Linked DNA regions of Rattus norvegicus. The protein of the gene in region 1 purifies or fractionates together with the protein of each later gene. This does not show direct contact. Links are inferred from orthologs where the notes say so. Each region holds a gene or a part of one and is shown on either strand. Other genes may lie near its edges.

The links. Proteins that work in one complex are often made in the same cells at the same time.
Region 2: the proteins of S100b (region 1) and Iqgap1 purify together in Homo sapiens (co-immunoprecipitation; 3 studies listed by BioGRID and IntAct, with this or other methods). This does not show direct contact. The link is inferred for Rattus norvegicus from reciprocal best matches to the Homo sapiens genes S100B and IQGAP1.

What each region holds. Positions count from the first base shown.
Region 1 is NC_086038.1:12,370,925-12,375,691, forward strand, and holds the end of S100b (protein S100-B), read right to left. Parts: intron 2,650-4,767; coding exon 2,509-2,649; 3' UTR 1,424-2,508; downstream 1-1,423. UniProt on the Homo sapiens protein: Small zinc- and- and calcium-binding protein that is highly expressed in astrocytes and constitutes one of the most abundant soluble proteins in brain.
Region 2 is NC_086019.1:144,105,134-144,110,283, reverse strand, and holds part of Iqgap1 (ras GTPase-activating-like protein IQGAP1), read left to right. Parts: intron 1-3,199; coding exon 3,200-3,340; intron 3,341-3,428; coding exon 3,429-3,513; intron 3,514-3,880; coding exon of another isoform or gene 3,881-3,901; exon of another isoform or gene 3,902-3,928; intron 3,929-4,494; coding exon 4,495-4,727; intron 4,728-5,150. UniProt on the Homo sapiens protein: Plays a crucial role in regulating the dynamics and assembly of the actin cytoskeleton.

The DNA.
Region 1 (4,767 bases):
CCACTCTGATTTCCACGGTGGTATGTCTGCCTAGCCTCAGCTCTGCTTGTCGCATGGGTAGGTCGGAGTTTGCGGTGGGTGTGGTGCCTGGACACCCATTACCCCAAGAAGGGCCACATGGGAGAGGTCACAGCCCCAGCACTGGTTACTACCCCTTGGCCACTGTCACCATCCTGGGGAACAAATGGCCTCAACTCGTCCTTTCCTGTTCTCTTCTTGGGTACCTTGTGGTGAAAGCCTGGAGTCTCCTCCCTGAGCTGCTGCTCTGCTCATGTCGTTTGGAGAAGATCGGCCACCACAGAGCACCTCTCCAGAGAGGGCCAGGCTGAGAGTGCAGCTTCTCAGCAGGGTTGGCTCAGGAGCCCCGCTCACCAGAGGGCAGGACCTGGTGCCCTGCCCACACCCAGCAAATAAAGTATCACTTGGGGCGGGGACAACATATAGCAAGGGAGCTTTCATTGGTATGAAATTCCTGTCGAGCTCTAGTCTCACGGGCAAGAACCTCCCGTCAGTCACCACAGCTGCCTTCCTAGAGGGGTTCAGGAGGCGTGGCAAGGCAGATATCCTGACCATGTGTCAAAACTGTGACCATGTGTCAAAACTTGTCCCTATGAGGCTGGGGACAAGAGGACTCAGGGAGCCCCTGTAGATAGCCCTCGGCAGCTCTGGTCCCCCACAGTGCCTTCCATGTGCCCCCAGCCCCATGCATTGCCAGGTTCTGGTCTTCAGTGCTGCCCTGAACTCTCTCACCGTTCTTCATAGCTCCATGTGGTAGGCCCCTTGGTCTCCAGGAGGGCTAACTAGGAGTAGGTTGCTGGGGCAGGCCTTGAAAGGTGTACCAGTCTCCTGTCCTTTTCAATCTACTTCCTACCTGCCCCGGTGTGACCTCCACCACCATGTCCTTCCCTCTATGATGAACCTCCAAAAGCAGGAGCTAAACAAATATTTATTCTTCTTCCGTTAAGTCGGGAATTCTGTCACAGTGGTAAGAAAGCTAACAGGTGATCCAGCCAGGGCAGAAAATTGCCTGTCAGAGCCACATCATAGTCTCTGGTCATGGGGCGATCTGATTCTGTGCAGCCTTTGACCGTTGAAGAGCCTCCCGAAGTTCTAGAGTTCTAGCTGCCTTTCACCCACCCTTGGGCTCTTTTTTTTTTTTTTCCGGAGCTGGGGACCGAACCCAGGGCCTTGCACTTGCTAGGCAAGCGCTCTACCACTGAGCTAAATCCCCAACCCTCACCCTTGGGCTCTTAAGGGTGGGTGATTTTTATTTCTTCAGTGGTGATGGAGAATTGTTAACAGTTTTTATTTTACCCAAGGGCATTGTTCAGTTGTCTTAATGAACTTCTAAGTCTCGACTCCTAAAAAAAAATAATAAATAATAAATAACAGTACTAAAAAAAGAGGTGGGTGAGAGCAATTAGAATTTTCCTAGAATGGCTTTTTAATACTTGCAATGCGGTTTTTATTTATCTGTAACTTGGATTGTTTGAACCTTCGGCATTCAAATATGCAGGTTAGAAAGCATCAAGTCCGGCTTCCCACAGTCCTCGGCTCGCAGCCTTGCCGAGTGTTAAGCAGGCCCTAGGCACCAGCAGGTCAGACATGACACCCAGCAGCTAAAGGACACATCTCAGTGGCCCTTCATTCCTCAGCAGCTCACCCTGCAAGTCTCACCCTAGAGGGTCACTCACATTATGGGCAGCAGAGGGAGAGAGGAAGATACAGCTAGAAAAAGACCTGACACTCTCTCCAGTGCCCTCCTCTGTCCGTGTCCTATGGGGACAATGGTGTCATCCTGAAAGGAGACGTCTACTGAGCAGAATTTTGATTCTCGGTCGTGAGTTAGGATGCTAATACTTAGTGTGCGAGATCTAATCGTTCCACCAGTTAGAACTGTTGGTGTCAAATACGTACTTAGTAACAAACCACGGTTCACTGTGGAAGAAGAGACTTGAGTGGGCTGTCCTTTTGGGCTGGGGGTGGTGGGAGGGTGTGGGTGATAGGTCTAACTTTCCGGGGCATCGTTTGCACAGAGGACAAGCAGTTGTAAGGGCGAGCCAACCTCTTCGGGTGGCAGTGGATCCAGCTGTGGGTCTGTAGATGCATGGACAGCATACATTACACCTAAGAAAGCTGTCCAACGGAGGTGCTATTGGTAGTCTGCCTTGATTCTTACAGGTGACCCTTCCACAGGAGCATGGTGGTCTACAACCAGTGCTATACCCACAGAGTGTTGATTTCGTCCCCTCAGTGACTCTTATCAATAGTTCCCGGGACCATTCAGCTCACAGGAATACCTAGTGTAGCAGAAACGATGTGCTAACTTAAAGCAGCCCTTGGGAACGGGGTCAGAGTTTCATCCCTGAAGCAAATCAAGCTTCCTAATTAGTTATATGCGTCTAGAGAGCGCAGCTCCTTCCAGCCCACGAGCCTTCTGCCGTGCCTCCTCTCGTGGCCCTCATGTCTGCCACGGGGAAACGGCTCAGCCACTTTTTTTTTTTTGTCTCACTCATGTTCAAAGAACTCATGACAGGCTGTGGTCACCATGGAGACGAAGGCCATAAACTCCTGGAAGTCACACTCCCCATCCCCATCTTCGTCCAGCGTCTCCATCACTTTGTCCACCACTTCCTGCTCTTTGATTTCCTAAGAGAGAGAGAGAGAGAGGAGACGATTTAAACCGGAGCCGTCAGAGTGCTATTAAAAGTGCCAGGCTGGTTTGATTTGCGTCAGAAACGATCCCGGTACAGGAAATGAAGAATCCTAACAGCCCCTTGTGAGCATGGACAGTCAGCCACGGGTAAGGGGTGGGGGGAGCGGTCTGTTCTCTTCCCTTTGGCCTGGATTACTTCAAAATGGGGGGAAAGGTGAAGGAGTAACAGACTGCCCCGTGAATGTGTGTGAAGCCTGGCTCAGACTGGGCTAGTGACTTGAGAGACATGAGCTCAGCGCTTCTGAGTGTCCATGTGTTTGGGAGCTACATGGATCCTAACATTCACTAAAATACCACTTGGGAGCGTGTCAGAGTTTTCTCTTCATGAGTAGCTTCCTAGCGTCGTAGGCTTCCCCCCTGACAGTTCTGATGCCAAAGCCAAGTGAATGGTAAGGCTACTCCTAACTGATGCCCCAACTGTGCGGGCCTGAAACCCGGTGGGAAGAATGCAGGCTCTGAGCCAAGACTCTTAGTACAGCCTGCTTGAGTTAATACCTATCCCCTACCCCACCTCCCTGACAGGAGAGCTATGTAGGGAAGCCTAACTGTTTCCCTAAATACAAACATTCCCCTGGAAAAGATGGTGATTCCCAGAGGCGCACTGGAGGCTGTTAAAACATCTCCTGAGAGAGATGGGAACAGTGTCGTTCTCCCAGTTACAACATAGGTGCCTTGATTTCGAACCTACATGGCCTCCAGAGGCTTATGTAGGAGGCCTGGTGCCAACCTGTGGCACCACGGGGAGATGATAGAGCCTTTGGGAGGTAGGCAAAGTGGGAGGAAGCTGCATCATTGGGCCACGCCCCTTCATTTCTTTGCTCCTCAGTGGGTTGGTCTGCCTCATCCAAGGCCCCCAAACAGTGAAGCCTGACAACTGTGCACCGAAATCATGAGCCCAAATAAATCGTCCTTGTCTGGCCATGGTGGTGCATGCCAATAATCCCAGCACTAAGGAGGCAGAGGCAGGCGGATCTCTGACTCCGATGCCAGCCTGGTCTACAGAGTGAGTTCCAGGACAGCCAGGGCTACGCAGAGAAACCCTGTCTTGGAAAACAAAACCAACCAAATAAATCAATAAACCTTCCCTCTTTCAAGTTGATTTTCTCCAAGGCTTCTGTTGAACCAGGCCAGCAAACAGGTGAGATACTTTGATAACTTACATGAGTTATCATTGATAAATGGGCCATTACCGGCTATTTTTTTTTTCCTGTCGTCAATCAGGGGAGTAGCGAGGATCTTAAGCTCTTATCAGCTGTGCTTTCCCTAACCGTGAGGAGCTTGACATGCTCACCGTGTCCCTGCATACTCTTCTTCAAACATGAAGAGATTAAGTCAAAAGGCAGAGTGTGGGGGGGCTATAACTAGTTATGCATCCTGTTCCTGAGTCCCTGTTACCCAGTATCTGAATGTCTTAGGAATTGATCCCCAAAAGCCCACTTGAAATCTTCTCCAGCAAGCCCACAAGGAAGGCCTGCTCAGTGAGTATCAACCTACCCAGTTAACTCGGAGTATGGTTACCTGTACCACGTGAAATGGCCGTGCCCGGGAGTCAGACCCAGACTCGGCACTTGATCAAACACTGACTAGTTTTCCTCTGTCTGTGTGCTTGGCTACTTCTGTGGCCCAAGGGGGTGCTCTCTGTGGCAGGACGCATTCCTTGAGCACCGACAGCATTTCCATATCACTATAGGTGTGCCTCGAGCATTGGTCTAGGGGACTGAGGGAGCACTGGGTGACAGAAGGATTACAGTTCACCTCCACGAGAGCACTTGGTTTGCGAGCAGTAGACCCGCTCAAGGGCAGAGGAGACAGTGGGTCAGGAAGCGAATGTTTTCACTACTAGAATATTAAGTGCCCAGAGAAAAACAGCCTGTCAGGGATCCTGCAGCAGCTTCCTAGGACTCCAAACTAAACTTAGGCCCAGCCAATGTCATATACCCCGGGGAGCCTCCTGTTCCCCTCAGGCAACTATTCCCTTGTGGTTTATGCTAGCTTGGATGTTTTGCGAGCCCGTGTATCTCAAATATTGAATTATCGAGTGATCAGTCAAT
Region 2 (5,150 bases), on another chromosome or scaffold:
CAGTGAGTGAGGCATGGATAGCATAGCCCTACAGGTAAGGCTCTTCCTGTGTGATTCTGGAGAACTGAATTTCATCTCCAGAGTCCACATAAACGTGAGGAGAACCATCACCTCCGATGATGATGATGATGATAACTATAATAGTAATTGAAGCAGATTTATTGAAGCCTTACTCCTTCATAGCTTATTGGGGAACAGAGACAACAAACAGATAAATAAAAATTACATCCATGGAAAGGCTTTAAAACTTTTGTAAGGTATTCTACCAGAGTACAGGAGAGTGCTAATGTTGACAGGCAGTTAGGGAAACCATCCGCTGAGGTGGGACTTTTTTGGGGGAATGCCCTGCTGCAGAGGGCCTAGCACTTGAAAAGACCCGGCTGTAACTGGAGCAGTTGGATGGGAAGGGCTGTGTATTTGGGATCAGGAGGAAAAGATGTGGGTAGGGTGAACCATGATCTGTGCCTGGGTAGAGCTTAACCAGGAATACATTAGTTATGGGAGATGAGTCGGCCATAGTGAACTCTATCTACCACAGACAGACAGACAGACAGACAGACAACAAAGGCATGTCAGTCAATCAAATTTGGTAAAGCCAGGAAAACAAAAGTTCAGAGAGCCATGCTGCTGCTCTTGCTGTTACTCAGGTTGGGGAGGACCCAGAGACTAGATGTGTGGGACTCCGGTGCACCAGGGCGGGTTAGATGGCAGGAAGCGTGCTGGGTAGCTTTCGCACCACTTGCCATTCGATGACATGGTGGTGCATGCGTGTAAAGCCAGCATTGTGGAGGATGGGGCAGATATTCAGAATGAGCGAGACCCTCTCTCAGCCAAACCAAACCAAACCAAAAAATGTGTCACTGTAGATGAGTCACGAAGTGTTCTGAAGCGTTAAGACACACCATTGAGTTGAGTGTTCTGTAGTCTTAACACTGGGAGTCTGATCTTTTCTGGGCATCGTGGAAACTTTTCTGTGTTTTTGGTTTTTTTTTTTTTTTTCCTGTGCTGGGACTTGAACACTCAGCTCAGCTCTCAGCTCCACCACCTGCCTCTGCTCACTGCCTTTGTCTGTCTGGGAAGTGTGGCCTGTCACCCAGGCCATTCTTAGATAGCGGCCCCATGAACACTGCTCAAGGTCACTAAGTCAATCGGTCATTTACAAATCTGAATTCTACTAGCCAGTTCAGTAGTTTTTTCTTGTTAGTGTCTGTAAGAAAGTAGTGTTTCCTGATTTTCACAAAATGGAAACTGATGCTTTTTTTTTTTGGTTCTTTTTTTCGGAGCTGGGGACCAAACCCAGGGCCTTGCGCTTCCTAGGTAAACGCTCTACCACTGAGCTAAATCCCCAGCCCCCTGATGCTTTTTTAATTCCAGTACCTGTGAGGTATGTGAAGCCACCTGACATATAATCATCATAGGTCCCCACTTTTCCCTTCTCCTTAGCCTCCCCACACAGTACTTAATCATATATTACAAATACCGTCCTGGATCTCATTCAGCATGCTAGGACAGTCATGCCCCTGTCTGCTTATCTCAGTTTACCATGGTGACCATACCCAACTCGCCACACGCTGGTAGCTGGAGCGGATGAAGTTTATCAAAATCCTTGAAGTAGCAATCACGGGGCTCAATCAAGATGCCAGCAAGGAACATCTGTTCCTTGGCTTCTTCAATTTCTGGTGGCCTTTGGCCCTGATTGGCTTGTGGCCCTGTGATTGTAGTCTCTGCCTCCCTGGTTGCCTCTGCTCCCCTCTGTATACTAAATCTCCCTGTCTCTCTTACTAGGTCACCTACTTTATATTTAGGGAGCACTTGGATAATCTATGAAAATCAGTGCTCCTTTTTTAACCTTGAAAATACCAGAAACCTCCCTGTATTTCTTTTTATCTTTCAGCTCCTTGTCTTTATTTCCTTCTTGTTACATGTAGGCCCATGTTGTAGCACATCTGCCATTCCTATGCCAATCTGTCTGTCTCTGTCTGTCTGTCTGTCTCTCTCTTCCTTCCTCCCTCCCTGCGTCCCTCCCTCTCTTTCCTTTTGGACAAGTCCTTCTGTATTCCAGTCTGGCCTTAAATACCCTGTGTACCTGAAGATGACTTTGAACTCAGATCCTTCGCCTCCGCCTCCCAAGTATGAATTGTAGAGTCTGATTTATGTGCTGTTGAGGATTTAATCCAGGGCTTGTGTGTGCTAGACAGACAAGTCTGTCGTCTGGCCTGCACCCCCAGCCTTGTTTGACTAGCCCAGTGCCTCAGCTCCTGTGTCTGTCTGTCTCCCCTGACGTGGAAAGGTGCCATGTCCTTGGCTGTGCTGTCTCTTCAGTGCCTGTGGGTCTTCCTGGTCTGCACTGTTGCCCCTTCGTCGTTGTTCATACTCATTGTCTCTGGGTCAAGCTGAAACACTGCTTTCCCACATCTCCCATCTGTGTCTGTCTGTCCATCTTTATTTTTACAGTGAGCCTGGGTGGTCTTTCTGCTTAAAATGTGTGTGTCTGTATGTCTGTATGTCTGAGTGTGTGTGTGTGTGTGTGTGTGTGTGTCTGTGTCTGTGTCTGTGTGTGTGCGTGTGTGTGTGTCTGTGTGTATGTGTGTGTGTGTGCGTGTGTGTGTGTCTGTGTGTGTCTGTGTGTCTGTGTGTGTCTGTGTGTCTGTGTGTCTGTGTGTGTCTGTGTTAGGGGAAAGGGAGCATGTGGAGGTCAGAGGATAACTTTGTGAAGCTGGTTTTCTCTGTCCACGTTTCTGTGTGGTCTGGCTGTGAGGGAGCCTTCCTTCCTTTCTCCATTCTGAGTAGAGGCTCCTCCTGTGATCTGCAGATCAGCCTACTGCTCAGAAGCGTTGTTCTTCTTCATTGCTGGTGGTTAACCTGGGGTCATGGGTACACCAGGCCAGCGCTACATCACTGAGCTAACCTCTAGCCCATATAGGGTGTTTATGATTACCTGCTGTGAGACTCAAGAGAAGATCCGATGGCTTCCATTTGTTTGTGGCTAAGTGCTTATCAGGGCGTGTGACACATGACATGCGGCATCCAGCTCACAGCTGAGAACCCAGACTCAGATTCTAGCCTCGCTTTACCAGCCTGTGCAGAGGAGCCTAAGTTAGCTAAGCTTTCTGGGTCTATTTGCAAAAGACAAGTTCCTGCCCCTAACTATTCCCGGGGGTTTGTCTAACATTGCTGGGGATCGTCTCTGTTTTCTCAGCAAACTGCCTTATGATGTGACCCCTGAGCAAGCCTTGTCTCATGAAGAAGTGAAGACGAGGTTAGACAACTCCATCAGGAACATGAGGGCTGTGACAGACAAGTTCCTTTCAGCCATCGTCAGCTCTGTGGACAAAATCCCGTAAGTGCCAGCAGTTGTGACCCCAGATAATGCCTGGTTGGTGGTGCCCCCTGCGGCCTGACCTTACTCTGTTTTGTCTGTCCCCCAGTTACGGGATGCGCTTCATTGCCAAAGTGCTGAAGGACTCTTTGCACGAGAAGTTCCCGGATGCTGCCGAGGACGAGCTGCTGAAGGTAGGAAGCGGAAAATGGCGGGTTCCTCCCTTCAGTGTCAGCCCCCAGTGACCACAGACCAGCAGAACGGGCCTGAGTTCTCCACTGTGAGCCTCCAAAGCAGTCATAACTAGGAGGCAGTGGTCCTTCTCAGCAGACAGTCTCTATTCATCTTTAAAGGCCCAAGTGTACCAAGTCTAGTAGGCAGTGGGAAGTTCGGAGTCCTCTTTTCTCTGGAGCATTGCGCCCTCTCCTGGTGGCCAGGTGAATAGCAGCAAGCACAGGGCTCTGCTGAGGCTCTGCTAATTCTTCTTGCTCCGCTGTACTCCCTTCTACTCGTGTTTTTACTACCTTTTAAATCTGAACACTTTTCTCTTCTCTCTCCTAGTTCTGTGCTTTCCTACAGTGAGGCCTCGATTCTAGACTTTCTGTCCAGGTGAATTAATTTTATTTTTTTCTGGAACTCTAGGGGAGATGCCATGATTGTCCTTTCGTTCTCCTGTGGAAGACGTGTGTTGAGTGAATCTCATTTCAGAGGCATGAACGTGGCCTTTGCAGTCTGTGGCATGTGGATGGTGGGGTTTAGACAGATGGCATTGTGCTAACTAGGTCATCTTAAGGACTTACTTTCACCGTGCTCTATGGCTTCCTAAAAACCCACCTACAAAACCCACAAAGGTGTTTGACATCAGCCTGAGCTGCTGCTATAACATGAACAGAAGGTGTCCTGGCGTGTTGAGTCACACACCTTAAATGCTACTTATATATTCTAAGTCTACTCCTCTACTCGTCTCTGGGACCAGTTTCAGTCCCCTTATCCTCCCTACACACATCCATTTGAGGTTTAGGTCTTAAAGGAAAGTGTATGTGCATGTATGCATGTTGGTGTGTGTCTCTTGTTGACCTTCCTCATAGGACTGCATTTTCTCATTTTCATTGCTAGCAAAGTCCCACATGGCGTCCTCAGTGGTCTGGTCTTTAACGCCCAGGCTTCTATTTCAGATTATTGGTAACCTGCTTTACTACCGATACATGAACCCGGCCATCGTTGCTCCTGATGCCTTCGACATTATTGACCTGTCAGCAGGAGGCCAGCTCACCACAGACCAGCGTAGAAATCTGGGCTCCATTGCAAAGATGCTGCAGCACGCGGCTTCCAACAAGATGTTTCTGGGTGATAATGCTCACCTAAGCATCATTAATGAATATCTCTCTCAGTCCTACCAGAAATTCAGGTAAGGGACAACGTGGATGACTCCAAAGAGTCCGTGGGCATGTTTTCATCTGAGTGAAAAGGCAAGGTTTACCATTTCCCTCACTTCTCCAGCTCCTGAGTTGCAGGATGTGTGTGTGTGTGTGTGTGTGTGAGAGAGAGAGAGAGAGAGAGAGAGAGAGAGAGAGAGAGAGAGTGTGTGTGTGTGTGTGTGTGTGTGTGTGTGTGTGTATGTGTGTGTGTGTGTGTAAGGCTCAAGGGCTCCAGAAATGGATGCAGGCATCATAAAGATTTTCATATGCAATAGTATTTAATATATAAGGAGTGTCTATGCATTAAGCCATGCTCACTCTAATCAAGAGAAGAATTGCAGAGTGCTTTTGACATTTAGAAATTACCACTTACTTTTGAGTGCAGTGCCTGGAGCAGTTCCTGAGAGGTAAAG